Drosophila melanogaster: one gene and its partners. The main gene of each other region encodes a partner of the protein of the gene in region 3 in a complex. Each region holds a gene or a part of one and is shown on either strand. Other genes may lie near its edges.

Region 1 (7,765 bases), on a different chromosome or scaffold from region 3:
TATTTACCACCATCAGCTATTAAAGACTGCTTTTGGCGCTCATCTTTCAAAGAATACTTTTCCACAAATCAGACAAGCTTCATCCGAAAGCGGGCACAATGCTGAAGGGTTACAAGACGGATGAGGACAAGAAGGTGAAGCGACTGTACCACCAACGCTATCGCACAGAGTGGGAGAAATATCCGGAGCTCTCCAGCTGGCTGGCGTCTAGTAATGACGGTTACTCGGCGCACTGCAAGATCTGCGACATCAATGTCCTCGCCAGACTAGCGTCCATCAAGCAGCACCTCGCAACGCGGAAACACCAGGAAAGTTTCAAGTACCACAACATTCTTGCCAAGGTGGGATTGGGTTTGTGCATAAGCAATAGGAATGACCCGTGTCCATTATTGATTCAAATATTTTGCGATCCAAACTAAATTTCAAACACGATTTTTGTGTGAGTTTTCGCCATACTTTTCGTTAACTATTCCATTGACTACTTCTTGTGCAATGGTTAACCAAACCAGTAGCTCCCTCTATGCGATGCACAACTTATCGCTCCAAAAAAAAAATTCTCATCTCATTACTAATTTACATAAAATTAACAACTCCGTATTTATACCTACAGAATATGATTAAGGGTGAACTTGTCAAAGATGAGCATGACCCAGACTTGGAGGCCTCCATAATTTCACCCAAAGCAAAGCCCAAAGCCAAATCAAAGACCTATCCAAGGCAAAAGCCAAGGAGCAAAATGCAGCCAAAGATCAAGAACGACACGAAGGTGGAGAGCATGGAGGAGGAGACGGAGGAGGACGAAATCGCCTCGAACGACTCAATCCTGGATGATTTACTCAGAACAGATCAGCCCTATCAAGAGCAAGAATTTGAGGTTGAGAACGAGTTCCTCGAAGTACAACAGAATGAAACAGATCTCCAGGACCAAGAGGTGGTCTACGAGGAAGAGATGATACAGCTCAAGCCGGAAGATACGGAGATTAATAACGAATACCAAGTCGACGCGATGACGGAAGACACCATTATTAGTGAATTTGACTTGTTTGGCAAGAGTTTGGCTCTGCAGCTGAACAACATGGACCTGGAGGACGCACTAATGTGCCAGGAGCGTCTGCAGGTGGTCCTAACGGAATTTCGCCTGAAGGTGCTCAAGCGCAAGAGAGAGCAAGCACGATCTTCGTAGGCTTACAATTTATATCAAGCTGTCTTATGTACATAATATAATTTCTTTAACAACTAAATAAATAACTATTCTGCCTCAATTTCGTCAATTAGCGCCCGGCACTTTCTCTTCAATACCTTGACCGCCTCCAGGAAGATGACATCGGGCTTCAGTGCGCCGACTGATTCCACGGAGAAAATGTAGTGATCTCGGATACGGGCCAAAGTCACAGCGTCGTTTAGCTGGGGATAGCGATACACATTTCGGCTGCACGTGTCGTAGCGTGCATCCTTTACATAGGCAGTTTCATTCTCGTCAATGCCAATTACTCCTGGTGAGAAACAGTTCTGTAATAGGTACGCATCCTTACCGGTCACCTCGCGGTTCAGCTTAATCATGGGCAGCAGTCGGTAGGTGGCCGTGGCCACCGGCGAGAATTTCGCGTGATCCCGTCCAAGTCCCTTAACCGCCACCAGGCGCAGATCCAACTCGTGACCCGGACGCAATTGGGCAATCAGTATGTCATCGTGAATGCAGTTCACAGCACTCTCGCTGTATATCTGCGCCTGCTTTCCTTTGGGCAGCCACTTCAGATGACCCGAGTACACTTTGTGGTTTTTGTAAATGTCATCGAAGTTGGACTGATCTTTTCCAGCATCCCGTCGCCGCGAGCACTTCACCTTCAGCTCAAATTCAAGCGTATCCTGCTCGGTCCCCGCCTCAGTGCTTTCCTCGGTGCGGTATGCGAATAGACGGGGATCAGCCCGCAACGGAAGTAGACCCATTCGATGGGCAAGTACCTCGTCCTGGATGATCGAGGTGTTGTTGTATATGTACACCTTTTCGATGGCCATGCTGGGCACATCGCTGAGCATCAGGCGACGGAAGGCATTTGCAATGGCGGGATACACGCCAATCAGATCGAACTCCAGGCCGTCTTCGTCGTTTCTAGAAGTGAACACCAATTGTTAATCGACTCGTAAGATTCTAATTTCTATTGAGATTTACCTGACGATTTTGATGTGCAGCTTTTCCTTGAAAGCCTGAACGGAAAATACATCGTCCGCCAGTCCATAGTCCTGCGGATCCTGCTTCACCCGATACTCCTCCATGTACAGAAGCGGCTCCTTGCGATTTTTGCTTGCCATTTGCCCCGGTGTTTTTATTAAATAATTTAACAAAATTGAACCGCACGTGTTGGAATCAATAAGACCGCCTTCTAATACCAAAATATACCAAACTAACTAACAAACTAACTAATATACTAAATAAATATACTTTATGTACTAAATAAATGCTGTTTCGCCGTGACTGGCTGAATAGGAAGAAGCAGCAGGACACCGGCGATATTTTTATTTCTCCAGAAGATTTACGTAAAGCCTTCAAATTTCTGAAACCGGGCGTAAGATGTCCCGCTCCCTGCAACGCTTAGTGGGCAGCTGTCGTCGCTGGGCACAACAGCCCGCAATTCGTCATTATGCCGCTCCCGCAGATTCCACTAAAGGCAAGGGTCCGATCTCTTGGAGAAGTCTGGCCGTCATTGGAGCCCTTGGAGCCGGAGGAGTGGGCTTCATGCTGTACGTGAAGAGCGAGAAGGATGAGGCGAGAATGAAGGAGCGTCAGCGGCAATTGGGAAAAGCAGCCATCGGCGGCAGTTGGGAATTAGTTGATTCGCAGGGAGCTGTTCGCAAATCGGAGGACTTCTTAGGCAAGTGGCTGCTCATCTATTTTGGCTTCACCCACTGCCCGGATATTTGTCCCGATGAGCTAGAGAAGATGGCCGCCGTCGTCGATGAAGTTGGTAAGTAGAGCCTGACTATTTCTTCCAAACCCAAAAAAAACCATGTTTCTCAAACCTTCACAGAAAAGTCCCCGCAAACGCCAGCAGTGCAGCCCATCTTTATCACCGTTGACCCAGAACGTGACTCCAAAGAGGTGGTGGCCAAATACGTAAAAGAGTTCTCCCCCAAACTGCTGGGACTCACGGGAACCGTCGAACAAATCCGCAAAGTGTGCAAGGCCTTCAGGGTTTATTTCAGCGCTGGACCGCGGGACGAGGACAACGATTATATTGTGGATCACACCATCATCATGTACCTGGTCAATCCCGATGGCGAGTTTGTCGATTACTACGGCCAAAATCGGGACAAGGACCAGTGTGTGGCATCCATTTTGGTGAACATAGCCAAGTGGAATTCAATGAACAAAAAGGGATGGTTCAGCTAGGCTGGCTAAGCTAGGCAAATGTTGTTTCGTTGTATTTACTTAATGTATGGCATAAAATATGGTTTTTACTTGATGTATATCAAGTTTTAAATCCAAATTTTCGTTTATATTGGCTATACCTTAAGTTCTAGATTGTAAAAATTTCTGGTTGTTCAAAATAAACTTGATTAACGGTATTTTTTAGATCCCCCTGGTATATCGAAGTGAGATTTTGACTAGGCCACGGTCACACTGCTCTTTTGGCGTGTAGTGCTGCGTGGATGTTGTTGCAAAAATATTCGTTTTCTCGCAACAAATAACAATATAATACAAAATGGTGCGTGCCTGGTCAATGACTACACAGTTTGCATTATTCCGGATGGGTTTCTTTAGAATTTACCCGAAATTACAACTATTTGCAAAGTGTGAAAGTCGTGTGAAATTCCGGACCAAACATAACCTTAAAAGCGGCCTAAATTGTTGCTAAAAATTCGTATTATTCTGTCTTTTATAGCGTCCGTTGATGCTTCAGGGCCACGAGCGTTCCATAACGCAAATCAAGTACAACCGCGAGGGCGACCTGCTCTTCTCCTGCTCCAAGGATCAGAAGCCCAATGTGTGGTACTCGCTGAACGGAGAACGTTTGGGCACCTACGATGGTCACCAGGGTGCGGTCTGGTGCCTGGATGTGGACTGGGAGAGCCGTAAGCTCATCACCGGCGCCGGTGATATGACCGCTAAGATCTGGGACGTCGAGTACGGCACCGTTATCGCCTCCATTCCGACCAAGTCATCGGTGCGCACCAGCAACTTCAGCTTCTCGGGCAACCAGGCAGCCTACTCAACGGACAAAGCGATGGGACAGAGCTGTGAACTGTTCCTCATCGATGTCCGCAACGCCGATTCCTCGTTGTCGGAGCAGGAGCCCACACTCCGCATCCCGATGACCGAGTCCAAAATTACGTCGATGTTGTGGGGTCCTCTGGATGAGACCATCATCACAGGTTGGTGTTTACCCGATAATCTATTATGAAAACCGTTTAAAACCCGTATTTCCAGGTCACGATAATGGCAACATTGCCATCTGGGACATCCGTAAGGGTCAAAAGGTGGTTGACTCTGGCACGGATCACAGCGCTGGCATCAACGACATGCAGTTGAGCAAGGATGGCACCATGTTTGTGACCGCCTCCAAGGACACCACCGCCAAATTGTTCGATTCGGAGTCCCTGATGTGCCTCAAGACCTACAAAACGGAGCGTCCAGTAAACTCGGCGGCCATCAGCCCAATCATGGATCATGTCGTGCTGGGCGGCGGTCAAGATGCCATGGAGGTGACCACTACGTCTACGAAGGCTGGCAAGTTTGACTCGCGCTTCTTCCACCTGATATACGAGGAGGAGTTCGCCCGACTCAAGGGCCATTTCGGACCCATCAACAGTTTGGCCTTCCATCCGGACGGCAAGAGTTACGCCTCGGGCGGAGAAGATGGTTTCGTGCGTGTCCAGACATTCGATAGTACATACTTTGAGAACATCTTCGAGTAGTTTGTATCCAGTAGTGATTTAGTAGGATCAGAGCCGGTGGACTTAACATAACCATTTCACCGGCGACATGTTCGTTTGCTTAGGGAACTTTCAAATATACGCGAGGACGAAACGAAACGGATCGCGTCGTTTATTTTTATAACATCAAAGGAGTGGAAAGAGGTACAACATGATTATATTCGAGTAAATGGTGTGCCATGTGTAACCTAAAAAAAGGAACGCTTTTTTTGCTTGAGAACCACAGGCTGACCCTGCATGGCCGCCCACTGAGCCGGTGTGGGCAGGCAGCCCGGCGGAGGAGGCGGAATGACGACATTTCCGTTGGAATTTGTCCTCACCTCGGCCCGTGAGTCCAAGTGGAGGACCTGTGCTGCAGCTGCTCCTGCCGACGTACTGGGACCAGCAAGTCCGAAGCCACTGCCATGTGTCATACCGTAGTTGGGCTGCCCGCTGAAGGGCATCTGCTGTTGCTGGTGGCTGATCATGCCGTAATACTGATTCTGGCTGGGCGGAGCACCTCCTCCTTGTGGATAGCCATAGGCACCAGCACCGGTGCCGCCGTTTCGCTGGCTTTCTTCATACGTTGGCGGAGGAGCTCGCTAGAAGTCGCAAAACTTTAGATGGCGACTGGTATTTGATAATCAAATTAACTTATTACCATGGCCATGTCATCGCCGGAATGGCGATAGTCGTAAGCGGGAGCACTTCCCTCGCTTGGTGGACCTGCTTTTGATGGCTTCGACATCTTATCTCGTCTGTAATTTGAAGTTGCACTTTGTTTACTTGCAGTTTCTCTGAGTCACAAACAGGGTTGTCAGCTCATCGAGATTAGTGATGTCGTAAAGTTTTCCCGTCAGATCTGGATTTATTCGAAATTTATTTTCTGCACGCGAATTGCTATTTTATTTCTTTGGCGTTTTAAAATAAATAAAAAATGGGAATAATATGTCCCTCACAATTTATTAGTAAATTTTTGAGTTGTGCTATTAGGACGCCAGTTATTGAAACACACGCTTTTACAAATAATTCAAAATCAGATTTAAAGATGTTCTATGGTAAAATATACATGTTTGGGTCACCTTTTTCGAAATTCAAAGTGAAGTCTACAAAAAAATATGTATTGAGTTACTTTTTGTAAATCGATGTTGTCAAGTTCCAAAAATAATTAATTTTTGAATTTCTACCAAAGTATTTGATATGGATGTCTAGAAAGGAAGCCCACTGCTGGTTCCTGGCTTTTTCGTGGCGATCCTCACCGACATGGGCGACTCGCAACTGGGCTGCTTATATTGCCGCCTTTTTATCAGGTCTCTTTGAATGGAGCTTCCCAGGCTGCGAATGGGCACCGCTGTAATCCCATCGATCAGATTCTCCCGGGCGTGCTGGAGCGTGCTATCGATCAGCTGCTCCACGGCTATGGCTCGAGGATCCACCATCGGTTCACGCTCCAGCACGTCCACAATCATGCGCAGGGTCTCGTCCGCCTGGAACTCCTCCAGCGGCAGCACCTCAATCAGCTCTTTGAACATGTGAGCGACGATGAAGTGGGTGCGGTTCACAACCTCGGAGTCGCCCATATGGACATGAGCGCACAGCGAGTCCTTGGCGTGATCGAAAATTCCGGATATCAGCTCCTCGGTGTTCACATCAGAGCGTTCGTAGTCGAACACAGCCACCACCTCGTTGAATAGCTTGCGAAGCTCCTCGTTGCTGATGTGGATGAAGTACTTCTTCGGCACAAACGTCTGCAGATGCTCCGTTATGCACTCGGCTATGCGATCCGTGTACCGACCCTAAAATATAACCTTTGGTAAGATTGAGTAAACTAATTGCTTTTAGATCTAATCACCTGGAAACTGTAGGCGGCCTGGCACAAATAAAGCGAGGAGCGCTGGGCAAACTTGCGCACATTCTCCGGAGTGGTGCTCTTCCCAAAGAAGCGATTGAAACTCTTCTGGACAATGGTCTGTACGCGATCCATGATAAACTCATCGGGCATGGGTGGCAGCATGTAGGCGTCGACATTGAGGATGGCCGGGCACACCATCGCATCGTCGTTGGGCATTATTTCACTGGTCACCACCTGGGGCTGTGCATTGGGATCCACCTCGAACTCGTAATTGATTTGCAGCGGCTTGGACTTCAGCCTGAGAGCGCAGATCTCCCGCTCCAGGCACTGTTGAATACATAATGCTTTAAGGATCTGAAATCAGTTTTGGAGAATTACCCACTTCAATCTGGTCCAGCAAGGATTTTTCAATGCCCCTCAGCTTCTCAATGTCGTAGGATAGATTTAGTGCATTCGGATTGGCCCACTTGGCATAGTTTTTGTTCTGAATGTCCAACAGAGTGCGAAGGATGTTGTTCTCTTCCCGGAGCACGGTCATTATGTTAACCTTCTCGGTGTTGTTCTGGGTCTCCAGGACCAGTTCCTCCTCGCAGCGAGCGAGTTCTTTCTGATGCACAATAGTTGGATATTAAAGAAATTGTTATACTTATGAAAGCAAATGTACCTGTTTCTCCAGGAGCTCTTTTTCGAGGGCCATAAGCTCATCCTCGGCATTGGTTTCCAGATCGAAGATGTAGCGCCTTAGGACCTCCTCCTCCAACTCATCCAGGTTGACAATAATGCCGAACTTCTTCATCATGGCCTGGCGAATCTCCTCCTCGAGCCGCGTTATCTCGAATCGCATGAACTTTATGTCCGTGTTCATGCGCCGCAAGTGGATGAAGTTTATGCGGTGCCAGCGCTTGGTGGCCAGTGTCTCCTCGCTTAGTTGATCCGCCCGGCGCCGCAGGTCCACTAGCATATCGGCGTCGAAGAGTATGGCTTTGGACAGGTCGCGGTAGT
Region 2 (7,749 bases), on a different chromosome or scaffold from region 3:
GTTATCCGGGGTAACGTAAGCCTGCTTTCCGTCTATCAGCTGCTGAATGAACTGAATAATGACAGGCATGGTGGTAGTCACATGACTGCGCACATCCGGCGCCTGAACATTGAGACGCAACATGTCCTGACGAAATTCCGCTTCATAAGCTCGCGCCATCTTCTGCCAGTCCAGTCCAGCGAGCTGGGCCCGCTTAATGATCTTGTCGTCAACATCCGTGATGTTCATGGCTGTCACCAGGTTGATTTTAAAATAATCGCGGAGAATGCGCTGCAGGATGTCTACCTTGACATAGGTGCTGGCATGACCTAGGTGCGCGGAGTCATAAACAGTGGGTCCGCAAGTGTACCATGTGACCATTTGGGGATTGCGTAGGATTAGGGGTACCTTCTGCCGCAAGCCGTGATTGTATATATTGATTCCTGTGTGCTGGCCAATTGGTTTTCTCCATTTAAACGGACTATCCTGTTTGGGAGCCTCCTCCGAAATGTTGCGCCGGCAAATGAGAGCTGGTCTCGTTCGACTGTTAAGAGCCCGGAGCCCCTCCTTGCTGTGGGAAACATTTGGGCTTAGAAATACAAAAAAGACACTATCCGCATAAATACTCACAGGCTATACATTGTTATATATTGTAAATTTTGTCTAAAGTCTAAATAAAATTATTTCTAAAGTTTCATGTAAGCAATAACATCTGATTAGAAAATAATAGGTTGCCAGATCTGAGCTTTTTAGCCCATAGTAAGAAAGTCTCACAATAAAATTAAAAAATAATTTCACAATATAATTTCATAAATTTTCAAATATATATTTATGTTTGCAATTATATTTATATCACATCATAAACAAAAGCATTCCAAACATTTTGTAATCTGGCAAAGAGACAGAGTTGCCACCTGGTCAAAGAAAATCGAAGCCGGCAGAATGCAGTGGCTCAAAATGAAGCTTCGCTTCGTAAACTTAATTTTACTATTAATAAGCTCAACATGTGCCCAATTGGGGGGCGATCCCAATGGCTACCTCACCTACTGTCCGTGTATGGGTAAGTTTCACTTGGAAGCAACCGAAAAACGACAACTAAACCGCGCTTTTCAAAGGACGCTTTGGCAACCAGGCCGACCACTTCCTGGGATCATTGGCCTTCGCCAAGGCGCTTAATCGCACCCTGATCCTGCCGCCGTGGGTGGAGTATCGTAGGGGTGAACTGCGATCCCGTCAGGTACCGTTCAACACATATTTTGAAGTGGAGCCCCTGAAGGAATACCATCGCGTCATCACCATGGCAGATTTCATGTGGCACCTGGCCGACGACATTTGGCCAGAATCGGAGCGAGTGTCATTTTGCTACAAGGAACGATATAGCCTTCAGCAGGAGAAGAACGATCCAGACAAGCCCAATTGCCACGCCAAGGATGGCAATCCTTTTGGTCCCTTTTGGGACACTTTTCACATAGACTTTGTGCGGTCAGAGTTCTATGCGCCACTTCATTTTGATGTGCATCATAGCAACGAGGCTGCCAAGTGGCAGACCAAATATCCTGCAGAATCATATCCCGTACTCGCGTTCACCGGAGCTCCGGCTAGTTTTCCTGTTCAGCTAGAGAACTGCAAGCTGCAGCGCTACTTGCAGTGGAGTCAACGGTATAGGGAAGCATCTAAGGATTTCATCCGAGAGCAGTTGCCTCGGGGTGCCTTTTTGGGCATTCATCTGCGCAACGGTATCGATTGGGTGAGAGCCTGTGAGCACGTCAAGGATAGCCAGCATCTGTTTGCCTCGCCGCAGTGCTTGGGCTATAAAAATGAACGTGGTGCACTCTACCCGGAGCTCTGCATGCCCTCCAAGGAGGCGATCATCCGCCAGCTAAAGAGAACCATTAAGAACGTGCGCCAAACTCAGCCGGACAACGAAATCAAATCAGTTTTCGTGGCGTCAGACTCCAATCACATGATTGGTGAACTAAACACGGCCCTTAGTCGCATGGGCATCAGTGTGCACAAGCTGCCGGAGGATGATCCTTACCTGGACTTGGCCATTCTCGGACAGTCGAACCACTTTATCGGCAACTGTATATCCTCTTACTCGGCATTCGAAAAAAGGGAACGAGATGTGCACGGTTTTCCATCGTACTTCTGGGGATTCCCCAAGGAAAAGGATCGTAAGCATACAAACGTGCACGAGGAGCTGTAATGGAGCAACAGGATTATCTACTTAAATACTCGAATAGGCTATTTTTCGGTTTTCTTTCCTAATACTAGACAGTTTTATTACATTGATTAAGCAATATTCTGGACTTCACTTCTTAAATGGTTAAGGTAAAAGTTTCAACTTACAAATTTAATGAATTTACTTTTGAATGTTACCAATATTTAGTGCTTTTAAAGAATATCAGTATATTTATGTTTTATTCTTTTAGCTTTAATTCTTAAAAAGGATTTTAATGAAACCCGTTAAATGCCTTCAAAAACACTACAACTTAATTGTAAGCTATTAAAGTATTCCTCGCATTTATGAAAACACTTGTTTGCTACCGATTTTACTTATAAATTTATTCAAGTTATCCAGCCCTCTCGCATTCTTGAAAATAATTTAGGTCGTCACTCCAGTGCCCCGAGGCCAGCATTTGTTCATCATCAGTGCAATTTTTTGGAAGTGGTGCGCCTAGTGTATCAGCTTCTGGGATCGAGCCAGATCCAGTTGCGCCGAGGAGACGCTCGTTAGACCCTCGCGCACTGTGCTGAGGTTCTCCTTCCATGCCTGCAGCAAATCGCGAAGCTGCTCCCATTGTGGTGCTCCAAAGGTTCGGTGCATTGTCGATGAGATGTGTACCTTTTGATTGGCCTGATCTAGTCGTGCGCGTACCAGCTTTGTTTTCAGCACCTCGATGACGAAGGGCTCCACCTCGTCTTCGTTGATCTGCAGCTCCTTGGTAAGCGTTTCGAATGTCATCTCCGGGCTGCTCTCGGCCAGCTGCATGAAGGTCAGCAGACGCATCTTCTTCATGTTCTGCTCATGGTTCAATCCTTGCGAGTTGACAAACTCCCTGTGATCCTCGTAGAACTGCACGTACGCTGGCAGCTTCTCGGACACGAAGATGGACAGCAGGTCGTGGATGAGGTCGCCTTCCAAAAAGCGCACAGGCTTCAGCGACAGCAGAGGATCCAGCAGGAATGTATTGGGGTCGGCCAAGGCAGTCACAATGCACTTCATGGCATCCTCACGGGCAACACAAGCATTGTCCGCCGTGTAGGTGCCCAGCAGCTCAATCATAACCTTGGAAGACAGCTCCAGGTTGGTGTCCTTGGTCACGTCGTGCAGCAGGCGGTACAGCTTCTGCATCTGTTCCGACGAAGGTGGGCAGTTGGCAAACTGGGATTTGAGCTGATCCACACCTGAGAAGACCTCCAGCACCTGTTCGCACTGCTTGGCCACCTGGACCAGGTGGTAGTACACATGGTAGCGTAAGGGAGAGGCGGTGTCCAGGTTGTTGAACAGACGCCACAACGACTGAAGGCACACCTTGCCCAATGGAAGATTGGGAGCCTTGGTCATCTTCTCGCAGTAGGCCAGGACAATGTTCTCACCGCGATCCAGGGGTATCTGAAATATTGAAGGTTATTTTTTGTTGCTAATATTGTATTCTGTATTACTCACCGTGATCATGATGGACACAATGCTGTTTAGAATTCCATCAATCTGCGAGGGCTCACCATCCTTAAAGCAAACGTCGCAGACGCCGATGATCTTGTGCAAATCATCCTCCACACCTTTATTGGACTTCTCCGATGAGATTTCGGCTCCCAGCTTCTTGAAATACTTGCGCAGCTCTTGCACCTTTTAATAAATTGCGAATAATATTAGTTTTGTTTTGCAGCAAGAGGAAGACATAACCTCAATTCGGGCAAGGCGCCGCCCGAATTCATGGCTAAAACAGGGCACTTTCACTCTACCTGCTCGTCCAGGGACAGGTCTATGAAAACCGGATGCGAAGTCATGGTTTTGTTAAATGTTATTCCACTTTTTTAAACAAATTCAGCTGAAAATAACACGCACACACGTCTTCGGCGCTTTGACAGCTCGAAAGGAAAGAGAGCGACCAGTGCTGCCGGCCTGGTCCGTTTCCCGCTAATAGCGATGCTCTCAAACAATTGACCGAATTAAATTAAGATGACGTTAACGTGGCCACTTAAAATATATAATATTCCTCTGAAATTCATTCAGTTCAATAAAATTAAAATAGTTATGGCTTTGCAAGTGTATTAATGCTGACATAAAAATCAATTTTATAAATGTTTTGACGGGACTCTAGCTAACAATAAATGTGGGCAAAAGTAGTGTTCCCGGATCTTCTGAAACATATAAGTCACTAAGTGACTTCTTAGCCGTACCGTTACTAACGTTCTAAAACCCGTTTCTCCTGAATTTTAAATTTACCATCCAGCAGTTATTTATTTTACATTTATCACTTTACAGTTAAGCAAAATGACACGATTTTTGTTAAATTGTTAATTTGGCGACAGTCTGGCAACTCCGCTGCTACTAAGTTATATTGCTCGCCAAATTTATATTATATTTGTATAACGGGCGAGAAGAGCAGGAGTAATGCCAGCTAATCGGGGCGGAGAATTATGAAATACACGACACACACGCAGCGTGCGGCTTCCTAGAGCCACAGAGATTCCGCAGCAGGCGGTACAACCGTTACTAGTCAACCACTATCCTCAGCAGAACTCGTGATTACATGGCTACATCGGATTTTGTTCTGGGCGGCCTGGCCTCCGTGGGGGCCACCTTCTTCACCAATCCCATCGAGGTGATCAAGACACGGATCCAGCTGCAGGGCGAGCTGGCGGCACGGGGTACCTATGTGGAGCCCTACAAGGGGATTGTCAATGCCTTCATTACGGTGGCCAAAAATGATGGCATTACGGGGCTCCAAAAGGGCCTCGCACCGGCCTTGTACTTCCAGTTCATCATCAATTCCTTCCGGTGGGGAATTATTTAGTAGCTATATTTTATAATTATTAATCATCTTGAATTTACATTCGCCAGGCTCAGCATTTATTCGGAGGCAATGGAGAGGCGGTGGATGCACAACCGGAAGGGTGAGGTGTCCTACGGAATGGGACTACTGTGGGGCGCCATCGGCGGCGTCGTGGGGTGCTACTTCTCCAGTCCATTTTTCCTGGTACGCCAATTGTGGGAATGCTGCGGGAGGTTACATAAACAAATACATAGTTTATCTAAATGAGCCGCGTGCTCATCAGCATTATGGACCTTCCACAGATAAGAGACTTTATTGGCAATTGTCCATCAGTATCTAAATACTACCATTTCAAGATATCCAGGGAGAAAGTATTATACTTCCAAATATTCCATATTTTTTGACTGTTTATGGTTGTTTGCATTGCTTATTACTTTATGACATAACGCATTTATTGTTAGCCTATTTATACCAAGACATTTTCAAGATCTAGAAACAGAAAAATATTCGCTAAATAACTTAATAAGTATTGTAAACATTAACATATTATCACAGTCAATTCTCTTATGTACAATGTCTATATTTCTATATTATTATTTATGGTCCTTTCTTTTGCATCCAGATCAAAACTCAGCTGCAATCACAAGCCGCCAAGCAAATCGCCGTTGGCTACCAACATGCCCATACTTCCATGACAGATGCCCTGCGTCAGATCTACTCCAGGAATGGAGTACGAGGACTGTGGAGAGGATCTGTGGCCGCATTGCCCAGGGCGGCTTTGGGATCAGGTGCCCAGATAGCCACCTTTGGTAAGACCAAAGCCCTGTTGGTCCAGTACGATCTGGTGACCCAGCCCACGTTGAACTCCTTCTCGGCTGGCTTGATAGCCGGATCCATTATGTCGGTGGCCATAACGCCGCCAGATGTAATCACCACGCGTCTGTACAATCAGGGCGTAGACGCCGAAGGACGCGGTCTTCTTTATCGCGGTTGGCTTGACTGCTTTGTGAAAATCCTACGATCAGAGGGCGTTTATGGTATGTACAAGGGGTTCTGGGCCAACTACTTGCGCATTGCCCCCCACTCAACCCTTGTGCTGCTATTCTTTGACGAGCTGGTCGCCGTACGCACAAAGTATAGTAATCAATGACCCCAAAGATCACTGGCTAGGTAGCATTAATTTAAGTACAAAATTGTTAAAATCGTTTTTACCACCCGGAAATATACACATTGCTTTTTATTATTAAGCCAAGCTTTGATAAACAAATTTGATATGCAAGTGCCGCCGCATACAATTTGTTTGTCTAAATCTGGCTTTAGTCTTTAGTGAGTTAGCTTAATGTCCTAGTTCCAATCTCTTAGATTAGCAAAGCCCCAGAACCAACTTGTGCCTTCATTAAGCTAATTTAAGAGCTCTTCCTGTAGCCATTAACCGTGCAATATTTTGGTGAAATAAACCAGTTTAACTGTTACATTTTAACGCATATTGCTCTCAAGTCTTAAGCAGCTAGCTTATCGCAAGTGTGGCGTTAGTGATCACTAGATTGTGATACAGAACGGACGTCTCATTGATGGCTACGTCGGATTTTGTGCTGGGCGGCGTGGCTGCCATGGGCGCTGGTGTCTTCACCAATCCCGTCGAGGTGATCAAAACTCGCATTCAACTACAGGGAGAGCTGGCCGCCCGAGGATCTCATGCTCAGCCTTACAAGAGTGTCTTCCAGGCCTTTGTGACTGTGGCCAAAAACGATGGAATTCTTGGCTTGCAAAAAGGATTGGCTCCAGCGCTATGCTTCCAGTTTGTAATAAACTCGTTTCGGTAGGTTAAAGCTGTTTGTTATCCTACAAGGAGTTTTCCAAAAATATACATATGTGCTCTATCTCTCTATCTGCTCTAGATTGAGCATATACACCCATGCCGTAGAGAAGGGTTGGGTCCACAACAACAAGGGCGAGATCTCATTCGCAAAGGGCATGTTCTGGGGCGCTTTGGGCGGCGTTGTGGGTTCCTATTGTGCCAGTCCCTTCTTCCTGGTAAGCGATTATGTAAATCAAACACTGAAGGTGTCTGCTTCCGCGAATATGTGACAATGTCTAGCCGTGATAAGATAAGGCATCACTGATAGCTACATTTCCATTCTAGATCAAGACGCAACTTCAGGCACAGGCAGCCAAGCAGATCGCCGTTGGTTATCAGCATCAGCACGCCTCGATGAGCGATGCGATTAGGAAGATATACAGGAAGAACGGCGTCTTTGGACTCTGGCGAGGATCGTTGGCGAATGTGAGCCGTGCCACTGTTGCGTCCGCCGTTCAAATCGCAGTTTTTGGCCAGGCCAAGAGTTTGTTGAAGGAAAACGGAGTGGTAACTCATCCCACAATCCTGTCCTTTTGCTCTGGCTTAGCCGCTGGGTCATTTGTCTCGCTGGCAATCACTCCATTGGATGTGGTTACCACTCGTCTTTACAATCAGGGAGTTGATGCCCAAGGTCGTGGCATTTACTACAGGGGCTGGTTGGATTGTGTGCTTACGATCCTAAGATCGGAGGGTGTATATGGGTTGTACAAGGGCTTTTGGCCCATTTATCTGAGGAGTGCTCCATATTCCACGTTGGTGCTTTTGTTCTTTGACGAACTAATTGCGCTGAGGGAAAAGTACGATCTTCACTACTAAACGAAAATTATTTAACACGAGCGGGGCTCTTTGAAATGCAAAACCATACGAAGTTGTTTTACTTTCGTTAGCTTAGTATTTGGAAGTTACGTTCTA
Region 3 (9,069 bases):
AAAAACTTAACTGAAATGAGAAACGAAAGCGTGATTAAGACAAATTCATCATTCGTATAAAATGTGATGATTTCTTGTGACTTATAGAAATTCGTAACTTAGTATAACAAAAAAGTAAATATCATTTAAAAAGGCTAGACACAAATGCGCAGTTTACTTGCAATTAATCGGTTGTTGTTGCACAGAAATTGCGTTTTTCGACAAGAAACTTGTGAAATTTTTACTCAACTTCTGCGTGTGTGTATGTGCAAACAGTGGAGGGACAAAGGAGCCTACTCCCATTTACAGTGGCGGCCTAAAGGATTTGTCACCTTTTGAAACAGTGGTGTCAAAAAGGATGTGTACTAATCTCAGTTTACGCTTGAAAATTATTAATTTATTTCCCATTTACAATCCAATCACGTATTTAAAATAAAGTCATACAAGCTGTATGTACAGTGCACCCTCCCTAGTTAGGACGCTCAAAAAAAAAGAACTTCCGTTCTTTTATATACTCAAGTTATCACAAGAAATTATCGCGACAATATATAACCATTTTTGGCAGAAACGAAGGAAGCAAACTACGTTTCACTTAAAATTGTGCCTTTCTATGTGCTTTTGTGAAGCTTTTTGTCGAAATTGCGATAAGCAGCCTCTGTGTTTTTGTGTTATCTCTTCGAAAAACAATTCACTTGTCTTGAGACCGCAGTCATGGCCACTTTAAATGTCCCCACTGTATGTATGCATGTTTGAACATTAGAAATGGAGGCGGTGGGCGTCTTTCAGGGCCAACTTAGCACTAAGACTTCGAGCAAAATCATTGATGTAAATGAATGTGAATCAGCCGTGCCATACAACCTGTACTATATCCAATACCAAGAAATAACCATCGAACAAGCAACCCAAACAGCCAAGAAAACTACATAGCTTGCTAATGACGTCATCGATAGAGTACTGGCAACTGCTGCTTTTGGCTAATTTATTCTCACATTTCAGCCGCATACATTCTACATGCCAATAATCGAGCCCAACGACTGACTGAGCCACGTCCTGCGTCACCGCGAGTAATCCAATCACATCGAACGGATAGCACCTGAATCCGCATCCACTCCCATCTCCACCGCCATGGACGCCCATTCGCGTTTCGCGCCGAGATTACCAGGTAAGTCCGCCGGCCGAACGGCCAAGTCATGCTTTTCGATTCGAATATATATCTAGTTTTGATCTTTGGTTCTGTAACTGCTTAGCATTGCCATTGTCCAGTGATTTGCCTTATTTGAGCGTTCAGAAATAGTTCCCAAAATAAAGAACTTCGTTAATACTAACTACCTAATCTAATGAAAGACGTAATTGTAAAAGAATTATCTGTTTGATTGCCTAAATATAAAGTAACTAATTGTGGGTACACCATATGGAAACCCATTTTCCCATCATTCTCTTTTAACTTTGAGCCCACCATGAAGATTATAAAAACGGGCCTAAAAATATGAGGCCAGGTTTTCTACAATACCTCACCTCCAATCTGTGTTTCAAGTTTTGGGAGTCATTTCTTTGCGCTGCTTTATTTCGTTGTTTTCATTGCCGTATCGTAGTTTCTTTGAGGGGGGAAGTGCCCTCGTTTGAGAACTAACAGTTAAAGCCAGTAATTACGACTAATTTTGTGCCCCGCCCCGCCCCGCCTTGACTAACCCCCAACCGCCGCCCCCTAACCAAGTTCTTTGTTTTTGGTATCAAGTTGCGCTACTAACCCCATTTCAAACTGCATTATCCAGCCTATGTGGGCAGCTTACCGTCTCCTCCTGTACATACATAACTTGCATTTTAAAACTATCCAATGTGGTTTGTTTGCTTGGTTTGTTGTGGATCCTATTTGTTAACTACTTTTCGCTAGCTGTGTTGTTGCCAATGTTTGGTTACCCGATGTGTTTTGTGATCGTATGTGTTTGCCCTAGCCCTTATAGCCTTACTTCATAGTCTATAGTCTAATCGCCCTAGCTTAGAGTTTCCTAATCGTCTCTGTTCTGTTCTGTTCAGTAATCGTCTGCCAATTATATCGAAACCGTAAGACTGTTGATTATACAATCAGATGCCAATGTACTTAACAAATGAAATTTCTCTGATTCATGTCTATTCACTTACTCAAACTCAATCCGAACTAAACTTGTTGCCTCAGGCCGTCAAAATACTTAACTGAAAGCATTACTTGTAAGATTACGTTTTTGGAATACAAGTCCGCGCCAGGGAAACCTACGAGATTTATAAATGCCTTCCTCTCGCACCCCAAGGTCCCGCCATCAATCCGATCGTCGATAACTCGGATGAGCCCCAACCCAGTCTCTCCGATCTGCACGACTTCGAGCCGAAGCTAGAGTTTGATGATACCGAGCTGCTGGCCCCATCTCCGCTTGAAAGTAAATTGAATATTTAAAGAATCTACAAAATCATAGTCAAACTAATTCTTCGATTTTTCCCAGAAGATGTTATGGTCGGTGATTTCGTTCTGGCCGAAGGTAAGTGGCGGAATCTACTTCTCCTGGCCAATGAATAACGTTTCGCATTACGCCTAGATCCAGAACTTGAGCCCGAGGAAGATGTAAATCCGCTGGAGGACGACTTCGAGGACCAACTCAGGGAGCAGTCTGAAAACTTTCAGACTCCCAGAAACAAATGCGATTTCCTGGGAACCGATAAGCAGGGTCGCCACATCTTTGGCATTTATGCATCCCGCTTTCCCGAAAAATCCCAACTGGAAGGATTTGTGCGGTAGGATTCATATTCGAGTACATTTTTTGTTCAATCATTAATCTATTTCCATTTGTCTATCAGGGAAATCATCAAGGAGATCGAACCTTTTGTGGAGAACGACTACATTTTGGTTTACTTCCATCAAGGCCTCAAGGAGGACAACAAACCATCCGCACAGTTCCTGTGGAATTCGTACAAGGAGCTCGATCGCAACTTCCGCAAGAATCTGAAGACGTTGTATGTGGTTCATCCGACGTGGTTCATACGGGTCATTTGGAACTTCTTTAGCCCGTTCATTAGCGACAAGTTCCGCAAGAAGCTAGTCTACATCTCCAGCTTGGACGAGTTGCGCCAGGCGCTCGGCCTGAACAAGCTGAAGTTGCCGGACAACATCTGCGACCTGGACGACAAACTGAACCCCAGCCGGAAGCCATCGACACCGCCGCCCAGCAGCAATATAAATGCATCCCGGCAGCAGCAGCACAAAATGGCGACGACGCATCAATTTGGTGTGCCCCTGAAATTCATTGTGATGAACAGTCCGTGCTTAAACTCCATTCCGCCAATTGTGCGCAAGTGCGTGGACTCGCTGTCCATAACGGGCGTGATCGATACGGAGGGCATATTCCGTCGATCGGGCAATCACTCGGAGATCATGGCGCTCAAGGAGCGCGTCAACCGCGGCGAGGATGTGGATCTGAAGAGCGTTAATGTCCACGTGATAGCCGGCCTGCTGAAGAGTTTCCTGCGCGATCTCGCCGAGCCGCTGCTCACCTTCGAGCTGTACGAGGATGTGACCGGTTTTCTAGACTGGCCCAAGGAAGAGCGTTCGAGGAACGTGACGCAACTGATACGCGAAAAACTGCCAGAGGAGAACTATGAACTGTTCAAGTACATTGTTGAGTTCCTGGTCAGGGTGATGGACTGCGAGGATCTGAACAAGATGACCTCCTCCAACCTGGCCATCGTGTTCGGTCCGAATTTCCTGTGGTCGCGCAGCACCAGTACCTCCCTGGAGGAGATCGCTCCCATCAATGCTTTCGTCGACTTTGTGCTGCAGAATCACAAGGACATCTACTTGATCGACGTCAATCAGCGCACAGTGTCCGTGGACTAACAACTGGCCCGGCCACCAACAAGTCCGTAATTGTAAATTGTTTGATTTTAATGTTAGTCCTAAGTGAACCAATGGTTAGCTAAAGAGAGAGCACACAAAAACGCAACAGAAACTAGAGAACAGAAGGCAATGTCGTGTATAAAGTGTACTGTAATCCTAAGTTGAATTTTAAACTGTGTGTATGTGTGTGGAACTGCTTGTAGCCCCAACTCCACGCCAACTGTCCAACCCCCCCGAAAATCACAATTATTTACCCCCAACAAGCGCTTAATACGATTGATTTACCAAAGAAATTTGCTCGTGTTCGCTATGCGACGAACAGGAGAGAAATTTGATATGAGATGTTATTATTATATACTACGTATTAATTCAACGCACATTCCCCCATAACCGAAAACGAATCTTGGTTGCGTTGCTGAAGGCACATGCCGAGCACAAGTGGAGTTGTGGCGAACTCAAAAATCGTACTGTGTAGTCTTGAATTTCCTTATAGTCATACAAACAATTTTTATAAAATAACGGTATTGTTAAAAATAAAGCAAGTGTTAAAACAACTTGGATTCTTATTAAAAATTAGATAATTATTTTAAATTATTTAAATACTCAAGACACATTTTGAGGACCAAACTTGCGCAAGATCGCAAGCGATTTTTATTGATATCGAAACAAATCGGTCCAGTATGGAATATTAAATTTATCATTAAGGGTCACAAGGAGTCGGCTTAAATGTTGATGTTCTTCAATTTGCGATTCAGATCGTTGAACTTAAGAATTTTACGCACAAAGAAGTCGCCATACCGATGTGAAACCTTGGTGTCGGCTATGTGGATCATGTCGTCGTCGATGTAGAAGTCCAACTAGAATATTAATGTATATTATTATATTTGCCATCAGAATTTGTCTATATTAATCTCACCTCGGAGCCAGACTTGAATGTGCCTTCCAGGCCGCTGGGTCCCTTGCTCCACACTAGGTTGCGCATTTTGTGCTTGAAGCAAAGCAGGCGAATCAGCAGCTTCGACACGTCATCCTCGCTGGCGTTGGGATCGATGAAAGATGCCAGTTTGGTCAGCGGCAGGGTGGTGTACAGCTTTAGATACGAGCGCGTTGTGGGCAGATCCTTCTGTTGGCGCACCTCATCCATGAAAACCTGCAACTGGTGTTCCATGGGGTCCTTGACGTAGTCGTCCATGGGTGCGTCTACAGCTGGCGGGCAGGGGCTCACGAAACGTGGGCAGGCGAAGACAAAGAAGGACTTGAAGACCTCCAGATCACCGCACTGCATCTTAAACATGGCGTCGTGGTAGTTCTTTTCCCTGAGCACCTGCTGGATGGACTCGTCGATGCACTGGGGATGGAGTACCAGGCAGATGGCCAAAAGATGGTACATCTGCTCGGCCTGCTTGTTGATTTGATCGTTTTGGTATGAACGCGTGCTGTACAGCTGCTTGGTACGCTGAATGTACAGGAGGATATCAGAAAAGGTGCGGATGGCATCAGCGTAGCGGCGCATCATCATGTAGGCGAAGCCCACGTAGTACGACGTCGAGATTTGGCAGGCGGGGATGTGCGAATAGGCGGACTTCTTGTGGATCTCAATGGGCTCCAGCACCTTGATGGCCTGGTAGTAGTCACCCAGCAGCGAATGAACGCGCAGCAGTCCGACAAGGGAGAAGTATCCCAGCATCTTGTAGAAGGACAGTTTGCCGAAGTCACCGGCCACGGTTTGGGGATCAACACCTTGAGAGATGGCCTCCAGCTGCTTCTTGATGTTCGAGATGTCCACAAGGGAATGCAGAACGTTGAGGATGCAGAGAATGCTCCACTCGTTGCTGTGGTTCACGCACAGCTGCTGGATCTCATCCTGCGATTTCTCCGTAAGGCGGGCGCTGCAAAAATGGAAGGTTAATCGAGTTCCACAGGCTGCGGAAACAGCTACATACCGATACTGCGCGAAGTTCTGGAACTGATACACGAACTCATCCACCAACTCCCACAGCCAGATGTCGGGCAGCTCCAGCATCACTGGGTTCTGGGCCGAGATGATCAGGTTGAAGAAGTCGCAGTAGTTGAAGAACGAGTTGATCCTCTGCTCCAACTTGGGACCACCGGGGATGCGGGCGTGGATGTGGCGATAGTACAACTCCTTGTATAAGATCAGGAAGACCTTGTCGTTGTCTACAATAGCAGCCACCTCCTGCTCCTCGGGCCAAGCAGTCTTGTCGAAGTGGTGGTCGCTGATCTGCGGGAACGTGTTCTCGTACATGTTTTGGATGTCGTACAAGTTGCCCTCTTTGATCGCCTGGCAGAAGTTTATGAGGAAGTACTTGACGTTGTCCGGCATCCGGGCGGCGTAGTAGTTCCTCTCGTACTCCATGTCCAGTTGCGGGTCTCCGGTATGAGCGTAGTCATCGTAGTAATCCTGTAATATGTAAAAAACCCAATGACTTTTTGGAAGCAGAATTGCAGGAAATACTGATCTACGACTCTCTGCATAAATGAGCTATTAAATAGAGTTAATCGCTTAAAGTGGATCGATTTTATAAATTAACAGCTTGCCTAGACTATTGAAGACTTTCGACTTTGTAAATAGGAATTCGAGAGACTATGCTACAACTGTTCCGAGTTTAATCCCGACCATTTAGCTAAGCGAGCTGTAGCTAACAAAACGAGCGCATTCCTACGATTACGAAGTGGATGAACCTTAGAGGGGTACTTCTTTCCACGGCATCTCTAAGGAGTAAGCTAGAATATATTCATGTGTTCTTTAAAGGTGTGTACACACCATCTAAAATTGCACGCAAATCAAAAATGTAGAAGGTATTATGACTTATTAATAATGTACACCGATACCAATAATATACCACATGGCGCCGGGGTGTCCCCCGGACTACAGGATTCGTTTCCAAATAGCAAAGGAACGTGTCAAAGGAGTGGCCCACGGATTATCAGTGCTTAATGACCTATGATGATCTAAACACCAACTATGCCAAGTCGTAAAACGGCTTTAAAATCATCCCAGTGAGTTTTGTATTTGTGCGAGGGCAACAAAAGATGGGTTATGTTGTCGGCGGAGTCCGGGGATTGGTTTCCCGAGAATGAATCATTCCTCGCTGGCTGCACTCACCGAGTTGGTTGCGTATTCGTCTCCACCGTACATTGTCGCTGTTTTATCCTCTCCGGGTTACACACAAAACGAAAAAACCGATCAAATGCTTAGGAAATTGACAACACGCCAACAAATTTTTGGCGAAAAGAGGGATAAACAGTGTGACCAACTATCGATAATGATACTACTACGACTATCGATGTTTTACGCCCCTATCGATTTGGTATTCGAAATAATTTTTTGTAAAATATGTATTTTATTTCAAATTTCTGGATAGATAAGAAAACTAGATTTTTAAAAAATATTTTAGAGGGGATTTGACTTATTTGCCATTACATTTGTATACTTTGCTTATATCATTCATTTTGCAATGATATTACATGGCTTTAAAACTATGCAAAAAAATTTCTATCACGAATTAATATAAATGTTAACGGAAAGCTATTATTAGTGACCAAATTTAATTTCATAGTAGCAGTTGAAATAATTTGTAAATACTTCATATACTTAATCACACGATAGCTTAGCTCACGCGACAAGCACCCAGTTGGTGACTCCCTCGGTATCTTGCCACGTTTGAGTCACGGTCACACTGGCAGCGAGACATTCTGTTCGTGTGTCATCCGCGTTGCGATAATTATTTTCTTAATTCAAACGAAACTCTTCCGAAGTGGGCGTGATCTGCTGGAGCCGTACACCCAGTGGATAAATTACATAAATTCAAAATCGATTTAAAGCGGAGCGTAAAGTGCAGTCCAACGTTTTTAACACCGCGGACGCGTTGCCACAAATCATCAGCTTTTCACGGTGGTTTTTCCAGCGGAAAAGTGCATTTTGGTGTTAAACTTCTTCGGAAATCGAATATAGATGTGTTTATAAATCTACCAAGCGATAGTGTTTAATTAACAGCCTCCAAGATGAGGCCGCCCAGGAGCAATACGAAAGCAGCATTTTCCTCGCTTCAGTTTGGATTGTTATGCCTCCTATTGCTGGTCAATAATGGCATTAAATCGGTGCAAGCAGGTAAAAACCAGTGATACCCATTGACTAACCCAGGAATTCAGATCCTTTCGGCTCGATTTTCCCAGCAATATGTGACATAAAACGTCGATTGTTTGTAAGCCAACTTTTTGGGCGTGTTCCCCAAAGCTGAAGACTCGCTCTTCCATTTTCCTTTGGCCCGTTGTTCGCTTTTTAACTCGCTCTTAGCGATCGCGAGAGTTTTGGTGAGAACGGGAGAGCGATCAAACGGTTGCTTACGAATAGCGGTGGCAAAACAAAAATGCCGCTTAACAACGCCCGTTTTTACTCGTTCGTTTTGAGCAAAGGCATTGGGGTTTTAGATTCTTGATTTCCGGACTTTTATGAAGCTTCCCGGGGGAGCAATTCGAAAATTTTGCCGGTTGCATCCCCAGTTGTGCTTGCCTTCTTTTCCGGCTTTTCAAATGCGCATGCGGCAAATAAGAAGCATCTGCTGATTGATGATGCTGTGTGAAACAGGTGATTTTATCATTATCCTTCCATATGTCAACAGACTTAAGCGCTTTTCCCCACAAATTTCCACATATCTTGAAAAATAAACAATCTATCGATGATATGCAAACATTTTTATGACTAAAAATAAACAATGCCGCGCAATTAATTTGCCTTGAAGCGTCGAAAGCAGACAGCCGACATATATCCTCCCAGACTTTGGTCGATTTCCATAATTTATTTCGGTTCTTATTGCCTCGAAAATAGCATCATTCGCACTTCGAGTTTCCCCCAGATGGACGGAAATGGCCTTTCAGACCTCGTCATATTTGTTTCATTTAGAACATTAGCCAAATTCTATGTATTTCGTTTTCTTTCTAATCACCATTGGGCAATTATGTAGCAAAAAGTAGTTCAAACTGGCTATATATGTATGTACATATGTTCCTGTGTTATTTACCAGAAGATTGTCATGCGTGTTTCCTCGGTTTCCTTTCGAGCTTATCAGGTTGATTTGTACCACTCCACCCAAGACTCAAAGTCAGCTTAAAGTGCCCACGAACTCCGAATGACCTCGCAAGGGTTGTTTTCCCCCACTCCGCTAAGAAAATGCCAGTGTGCTGTTTGCCTAGGAGGAGCTACTGCT
Region 4 (7,348 bases), on a different chromosome or scaffold from region 3:
CGATGTTTAATCCTAAATTTTTAAATTATTTTATTAAAATTTTAAAAGTTTTGGTATGTAGTATGTTCCCCATTGGCTTTAGCTACAAGTTGAAGCCCTTTTTTCATGGAATGGACAAGTTTTTGCAGGTCATATTCAAACGGGATCTTTTCACACTCTTCGACTATTACAGTCATAAGCTGTTGTCGTGTTTTAGGTCCCTTTTTGCCACCTTCTTCTTTAAGTAGGTCCACAAATTTTAAATGGGGTTCAGATCAGGACTCTGAGGGGGCGTATCGATCACTTTACCACAGTTATAAGGGCGCCAGGTGCGTACATTGCACTCTTTATGTTTCTGATCATGTCCTCTTAAAATATAAAATTTGGCTTGTTGTTGCTAACTAGACCAAATTTTTCTGCACCGGCCTTCAAATTTGTTTTTTAAGATTCCTAGATATTGCACGGCATTTATTGTGCTCTAAATTAAGGCTAGTTTTCCCACTCCATGGCTGGTGATACAGCCACAAACCATCAGTGACATTTTTCCAAATTTTATCGTTGGAATGATATTTTGTTTTTCTAGCGCACTCAGCGGTTTGCGCCATACTCTGCTTGGCCCGTCGTTATAAAAGAGCATAATTTTTGTTTCGTCACCAAATATGACGTCATCCCAGTACTCTTCTGGATGATCCACCTTGTTCACAGCGAATTAATGACGCTTTTCCATATTGGCATCTGATAGCAAAGGATTTTTCCTCGCAACTCTTGAAGAGTATCTATGGCGTAGGATGACTTGGCGCACAGTTTCGTGTGACACAGTTAGGTGACACTCTTGCCTGATATCCAGAGCAAGTGATCTGACCGGGGGTTCGCAATCTCTATTCGCATAATAAAGCGGTCTACACGCTTTTTAATTTTAATTTTCCGCCCACCACCACTCTTAGGTTCAAGCCTGTCCTCTTTTTCCGAGCCTTTTAAAAAATAGTAGACGGTCTTACGGGATACAGAAAACATTTATACTTATTCTGGAAAAGATTTTCCCAACTGGTGGTTATAGTTTATTAATTGGGTAACTTCAAAGTTTATCTCTTTCCAGGCATTTTATTAAATTTAATAATTCGCTTTAAGCACGTTTGATCAGCAAAATTTCACAAGCAAGATTGAGTAGTAGAATGTAACCGACATTTTGTTATTGATCCGTTATGTTAAGAATGAGCAGCGAGCAATGAAATTCACGGAAAGCGTTCCGTTATTGAGTGGGCATCATTTGTGTGGCTGTTGTTGTTGTTGTATAGTTTCTGGAAACGAAGTAAGGATGAAATAATTGAGTGAAGGTGAGGAATAGAAGAAAAGCATCGCGAAGGCGACGCTTGAGTAAATTAGTCTGCTTAGAACGACAGAAGAAACAACACGCAGGCGACTTGATGTGCTGGACAATATGGACGCTGAAGTAAATGAAAAGTCGCGCTTGGCATCTCCGACATATTCAAATTTGAATAGTATTTGATTAACTAACGCTAGCCACCGGTTTTACATCGATAAAACGATAGGCCACGCACGACCGCACCGATAGCTCCAAAAGCCATCAACCCCCACCCGCACTATCGATAGGCCCTTTTCTTGCATCCCTAAAACATACGCGCAGCGTGGCTGAATAGAAATTATTGCGGAAATTTTCCTTGCAAATCTTGGCCACCGAAAATTACCATGTCGGCTCTCAATCTGACCGTGCGCGTGCACCCGGTGGTGCTTTTCCAGGTGGTGGACGCCTTCGAGCGGCGGAACGCGGACTCGCACCGCGTCATCGGCACCCTGCTCGGCTCTGTGGACAAAGGTGTGGTGGAGGTTACCAACTGTTTCTGTGTGCCGCACAAGGAGCACGATGACCAGGTGGAGGCAGAGCTGAGCTACGCCCTGGACATGTACGACCTCAACCGCAAGGTGAACTCCAACGAGAGCGTGGTAGGCTGGTGGGCCACCGGCAACGACGTTACCAACCACAGCTCGGTGATCCACGAGTATTACGCCCGCGAATGCAACAACCCGGTTCACCTCACCGTGGACACTTCGCTGCAGGGCGGACGTATGGGTCTGCGTGCTTATGTCTGCATTCAACTAGGAGTTCCCGGCGGCAAGAGCGGCTGCATGTTCACGCCCATTCCTGTCGAGCTGACCAGCTACGAGCCGGAGACATTTGGGCTCAAGCTGCTTCAGAAGACCGTAGGCGTTTCGCCCGCTCACCGTCCCAAGACCGTTCCGCCAATGCTGGACCTGGCCCAAATCTCGGAGGCCTCCACGAAGCTGCAGTCCCTGCTGGATCTTATTCTCAAGTACGTTGACGACGTGATCGCTCACAAGGTAACCCCCGACAACGCCGTCGGACGCCAGCTGCTAGACCTTATCCACTCCGTGCCGCACATGACCCACGAGCAGTTCACTCAGATGTTCAACGCCAACGTACGCAACCTTCTGCTGGTCATCACGCTCTCCCAGCTCATCAAAACCCAGCTGCAGCTTAACGAAAAGCTCACCTTCCTGCCCACCGCCTAGAACGACGGCGTTTGTTGAAGTGGTAATATCTACTAAGGGTGGCATTGTAAACTGATTGTGTTTTTTATCAATGGGGGTCTACGTAATAAAGTGCTCTGATCGCCAAAAAAAAAAACCAAAACTTGTATCGATTACTCTGGTCAGAATGACATTCCATACTAAAGAAAATATATATGGGATTATCTTTTTTATAACTCAATTGAAGAATCAGCATGAATCCTGTGACACCTACACTAAACGACCATGTGGCGTTTGTAGGAGCATTCGAATCTACTGAAGACTCTTAAACACAACAGTATTCATCACCAGGAACAAAATAAATGCATGTGCAACTGAAAATTTAGCACCCAACTGCTAAAACAAAATGTTGTGTTTCAGTCTTTGGTGAGCTTCACTATTCTATAGGGTTTCAGGGAGTCGCATCGGTGCTGGGTTTATTGTAAGAATAGTAATATTTATATTCTTTAATATCAAACTTTGATGATCGTACCTTCGGCACACAAAAGTTATAATATCAAATTTTGTGACGAAATATGACAACACATTCTATTAAAAACTAGTTTCTTACATTTTATAACCAGCACCTCGTTGCATCATATGCGTTACTTAACTTTCAATTGTTTGGTAGCACCAGGATAAACTTGAGCTACGCCTACACTTTTCTGTGCAATCTGCATCCTTAATCTTCTAGCATTTATAGTTCATGAGATCTTGACGTTCATGCGGACAAACATGGCCAGATCGACTGCGCTGATTCTTGATCCTGGTGAAGAATAAAAGGTACTCTAAAGAGCATAAAAAAACACACTTTTCATATGAAAGAAGGACACAAAGGGGCTCCAAGATTTCCCCGTATGCCTTAATATATAAATTAATTAAAAAAAAAACTTTTCATATGAAAGTTTGTGTGGCCAATTTAAATATATTCGTAATGCATACTTTTGGGCGAAATTTAAATCTCAGAATGCGGAAGTTTTTTTTTTAAATCAATAACATTAGTTACAGTGTTACATTAGCAGATACTGGTTCCTCCCAAAAATTTATGAACTCAGTTGTAAGTTTTTATTAAGCATGTCGAATTGACATCCACTTTGTTAGCATATTTGTCGGAAATGCGACAGGACAGGTAAGTTATACATTTTAGAACAATTTAATTAACAATGATAAGTTCAGAAACGTAAAATGATTGTTTCATCATTGAAGGACTGTATCTCCTAGTCATTGAAGTATTACCACCAACATACCATACACCTTTTAACTTTAAGCGTTCTGCAGATCAAAATATGAAATAGTTCTTCATTGAAATAGTTTATTAAAAAACTAAACTATATCTTCTTTGATGTATTTATACAGAAAAATTATTCATATACCGATCATGTTTAAAAATTAATCATACAATCCAAGATGTGTATATAATATACAAATTTTCAACTTTATGCGAAATTACAATAAATAAAAATAAGGGATATAAGAAATGAAATCTTTCGCGATATATGCTCACCTCATGCAAGTTTAAGGGTATGTATATAATAATTATGTTAGTGAGTTGCGTGTGGATGGGTGTTTGTATATAGTTTTTTTTAGGTACATTGGATGCGTCGTTAGGTATTTTAAGTGGGCTGTAGCGGGTACAAAAAGTTAGAAACTAACTAATTTAAAAGCGAATTTTCGGATAGAAATAGTAGATTGTGTAGATGTGTAGAGTAGAGGTGTAAATATAAATTCAAAACAATTTCAAAATTTTAACACTTCGTTTAAAGTTAATCCTTTTTTTGGTTTTTTTTTTAAGTTTCAACACACATTACTTTGTTACAATGTTAGAGAGCTTGGCATTTAAACATGTAAAATGTATAGAGTTTGATTTATAACATGTAGAATGCGTTGTATAAAACTTTTAAATCCGAGTTAAAACATTACATAATTTCGTAGGGAAGCATATTAAAGCGATTAACACTAATCTGAAACGTTTTGGATTTGACTTTGTTCTCAACATATGTAGATATATGTATTGTATATATGTGAACGTACGAATTATCATCTCTATTTAATATCTATGTATTACTAGTACAACAACAACAATCAATGTTGCAAAAGCAACAGAGCAACAACCCCAGTTCTATTCAATAATCCACTTCCGTTTCCATGGCGAGGGCTCAGTTAGACGCAGCTGAACTTAATGCCGTCATCGCTGGAGTAGCAGTTTTGGCAATGCAGCTTGTGGTTTCGCACCCGGACATCGGTTCCATTGAGGCCATCTCCCAGCTGGACGTGGCAGACGCAACACTTGAAGCAGTTGATGTGGTAGAACAGCAGAAGCGATTCGATGATCATGGCAGCGCCGCGACCTGTGGAATTAGGTAAGGAATCTTTCAGCTTAGTTGCCGGATTAAAGGAGTCACTGAAGCGGAAGTTAACGAAAGTTAAAATTATAAGCAACAAAAATTGCAACAGAAGTGACGTAGATTATAAATAACCCCACCACTTAGATATTATATTCCGCTTCCAAGATTTTACTAATATACCTAAAATATTCGAAACTGTTGGGCAGTCTTTTTAAATTTACACCCAAACAATATATTTTAGCGCTTTGTGCACCTGCCGACAATTGCCGTGAGTGCAGCCCAGATCTGTCACAGACATGTAAGTGAGAATGGAAACTTATTGATAAAGAGTTTATAACCAATGGGAAGGAGAAAGCATTAAATGATCGACCAAACCCAACCATGAGACTAGTGAATCCAAGTGTGTTCTATTCATGATCTCTCTCTGTGACAACAAGCCTAAAAGATGTTCCCAAAAATGGACGATGTAAGAGTAAGAGGGGTATGGGGGTATTCAAAAGTAGTAGAACAACCACAACACTCACAACCAACGTAGTAGCAAAGTTTACCTAATTCGTCGCCGCAATGGGAGCACTTCTTCTTGCCACTAACGCTGAGCACCTTCTCCTGCCCCTGGCTGCTGTTGCCATTGATGCTGCTGCCATTCGTCACATTCTTCTGCTGCTGTTGCTGCTGGTAGATGTTGTTGCCATTTACCTGGCTATAGTTCCCGTTGCTATCGAAGCTGTTGGTGAATTAAAATTGCATTAAATATAAGGTATGAAAAAAGATCATCTATGTAAGATGTAGTAAAGTAGAGTTTCCCTTGTCACCTATATATTACTACTTACCGCTTTCGATCGCCGATTCCTTTGCTCTGGACCCGCTCCGTAAGAGTTTGTATGATGGAATCGGGCAGCGGTTTGCCCATCGACTTGCTGGCTGGTATAGATCGCCGATTAAGTTGCTCGATGCGTCGCTGCTCCGCCTCCTGCAGTAGCCAGTGGTTGTTATTGTAGAGTGCTCCGCCGTAGTCAGGCATGGATTTGCGCTTTTGCTGCTGAGCGGCCAGCCAAGCCGCATCGCTGGTCTGTTGGCTGTCATAACTCTTCCGCTGCTGCACCTGCACCCATCCGTCCGCGTATTTTGGTTTGGGGGTGGCACTCAAAGCGAGCAATGTGTTTCTGGACATATTGCTTAAGTTTTGGGCCGACTGGTGATGGTATGCTGGCGCTGTCGGCGCTTGAATGGGATATCCTTGACCGGGGAGCCGTGGCGGCATTGGTGCTCCAGCAATCTTTACCAGAGAGCCACCGTACGGAGCCGGTGGTTGGCGCTGCCTCGTGCTAACAGCGTAATCTGGCTCCAGGCCATGGCCATTGGCGTTCAATTGCATAGCCCTCAATGGCTTTGTGGGCGGCGTTGGCGGCAGTATCAGGCAGTTGGAGAACTCGTTTAGATCCGACATGGACTTGCGGTAGTCCGTGTCCATCTGGTGATATGCATGCAGAACCATCTGTTGCTGCTGCTGCGGCACATTGGCGTAAATCTGTTGCGGATGCGGTGGTGGCATTTGAACCTGGTGGTGTTGCGGTGGCTGGAAGGCACTGAGCATTCCGTTTCCGATTCCTAGACCGTGGTGCAGATCCTGCAGTGAGCGCCGGTTGTTCGACATCAGCATCTTGGCTCCGTGTTGCAACTCTCGTCGAGCAATATTTTCTCGAAGCACAAGATTTTCACGTTGCCGTTTCAGTTCCTCTTGCTGTGAAGGAAAAGTTTAAATTATTGACCTTTTTCTTTGCTAATCATAGTTTTCTGTGACCACATTTTTTAATGAGTTTTATGGTCCTAAAACTTGAACCTCTTCCTTACCGAGAAGTGCAGTAGCTCGCGTTCCACCCGCAACATCTCTCCCTGCTCCCGGATCTTATCCTCGATGGACTGCATCTTGGCATTGGCCGTTGCTGTGGCTTCGCTCAATGATTGCGTGGCCGCCGCTGCGGCCGTTGCTGATTCGGTCCAGGACTCGGCGGAGTTTCCTTTTACCGTCTGGAGAAGCGGCGTCTGGGCAGCCAGGAGGCTCTCATTTTGGTATATGACTTCACCCACTTGGGCGGTCGATGGTGGTGGAGGCAATGGCGGCGGTGTGGCCTCTGACTGTGTATCGTTCTCCTCAGAGGAGTTCGTGTAGTGCTCACTGCTCTGGCGAGAGTGGTTTTCAGAAACTCCAGAATCGCGGCTTTCACCTTCGATAGAATTAGACAAATTGTGTGGTTAATATTGACAGCAAAAGTCAACTATGTATATTTAGGAGCAATGGAAAAGGCTAATCCATAAAACAAAAAAAATTAACGTAAAGTTTAGTACCCGCATTTGTGTCCAGACATTATAGGTTTTTTTTTCTAAACTTTTCATACTTCGCTCAATAACTATTTATGTACTTCCATCTATGAGTATATAAAACGTACTCATTTTGCCATATAATCTCATAAAATACT

The links.
Region 1: eIF3l (region 3) and eIF3i share a complex: the UniProt entries of both Drosophila melanogaster proteins name them as parts of the eukaryotic translation initiation factor 3 (eIF-3) complex.
Region 2: eIF3l (region 3) and eIF3m share a complex: the UniProt entries of both Drosophila melanogaster proteins name them as parts of the eukaryotic translation initiation factor 3 (eIF-3) complex.
Region 4: eIF3l (region 3) and eIF3f1 share a complex: the UniProt entries of both Drosophila melanogaster proteins name them as parts of the eukaryotic translation initiation factor 3 (eIF-3) complex.

The regions. Positions count from the first base shown.
Region 1 is NT_033779.5:4,963,630-4,971,394, reverse strand, and holds eIF3i (eukaryotic translation initiation factor 3 subunit i), read left to right. Parts: upstream 1-3,619; 5' UTR 3,620-3,701; coding exon 3,702-3,704; intron 3,705-3,881; coding exon 3,882-4,371; intron 4,372-4,426; coding exon 4,427-4,914; 3' UTR 4,915-5,028; downstream 5,029-7,765. Other genes in the region: l(2)05714 (lethal (2) 05714), read left to right, coding at 99-341, 611-1,183; Polr1C (RNA polymerase I and III subunit C), read right to left, coding at 1,249-2,110, 2,171-2,310; Scox (synthesis of cytochrome c oxidase), read left to right, coding at 2,570-2,963, 3,027-3,388; CG34125 (uncharacterized protein), read right to left, coding at 5,121-5,513, 5,573-5,659; CG34124 (uncharacterized protein), read right to left, coding at 6,120-6,707, 6,764-7,090, 7,146-7,370, 7,428-7,765. UniProt on the Drosophila melanogaster protein: Component of the eukaryotic translation initiation factor 3 (eIF-3) complex, which is involved in protein synthesis of a specialized repertoire of mRNAs and, together with other initiation factors, stimulates binding of mRNA and methionyl-tRNAi to the 40S ribosome.
Region 2 is NT_033778.4:14,160,542-14,168,290, forward strand, and holds eIF3m (eukaryotic translation initiation factor 3 subunit m), read right to left. Parts: upstream 4,285-7,749; 5' UTR 3,991-4,284; coding exon 3,946-3,990; intron 3,830-3,945; coding exon 3,650-3,829; intron 3,596-3,649; coding exon 2,657-3,595; 3' UTR 2,525-2,656; downstream 1-2,524. Other genes in the region: CysRS-m (Cysteinyl-tRNA synthetase, mitochondrial), read right to left, coding at 1-550, 610-620; O-fut1 (O-fucosyltransferase 1), read left to right, coding at 922-1,039, 1,095-2,185; CG8323 (uncharacterized protein), read left to right, coding at 4,737-4,984, 5,048-5,183, 5,602-6,129; CG18327 (uncharacterized protein), read left to right, coding at 6,551-6,798, 6,878-7,013, 7,123-7,653. UniProt on the Drosophila melanogaster protein: Component of the eukaryotic translation initiation factor 3 (eIF-3) complex, which is involved in protein synthesis of a specialized repertoire of mRNAs and, together with other initiation factors, stimulates binding of mRNA and methionyl-tRNAi to the 40S ribosome.
Region 3 is NT_037436.4:12,138,988-12,148,056, forward strand, and holds eIF3l (eukaryotic translation initiation factor 3 subunit l), read right to left. Parts: upstream 7,111-9,069; 5' UTR 7,002-7,110; coding exon 6,969-7,001; intron 6,264-6,968; coding exon 5,785-6,263; intron 5,731-5,784; coding exon 4,758-5,730; intron 4,699-4,757; coding exon 4,564-4,698; 3' UTR 4,459-4,563; downstream 1-4,458. Other genes in the region: RhoGAP68F (Rho GTPase activating protein at 68F), read left to right, coding at 1,105-1,141, 2,014-2,040, 2,265-2,390, 2,454-2,489, 2,547-2,742, 2,806-3,841; Nrx-IV (neurexin IV), read left to right, coding at 7,868-7,973. UniProt on the Drosophila melanogaster protein: Component of the eukaryotic translation initiation factor 3 (eIF-3) complex, which is involved in protein synthesis of a specialized repertoire of mRNAs and, together with other initiation factors, stimulates binding of mRNA and methionyl-tRNAi to the 40S ribosome.
Region 4 is NT_033777.3:4,708,424-4,715,771, reverse strand, and holds eIF3f1 (eukaryotic translation initiation factor 3 subunit f1), read left to right. Parts: upstream 1-1,589; 5' UTR 1,590-1,686; coding exon 1,687-2,529; 3' UTR 2,530-2,890; downstream 2,891-7,348. Other genes in the region: smash (smallish), read right to left, coding at 4,687-4,874, 5,396-5,595, 5,702-6,612, 6,723-7,096. UniProt on the Drosophila melanogaster protein: Component of the eukaryotic translation initiation factor 3 (eIF-3) complex, which is involved in protein synthesis of a specialized repertoire of mRNAs and, together with other initiation factors, stimulates binding of mRNA and methionyl-tRNAi to the 40S ribosome.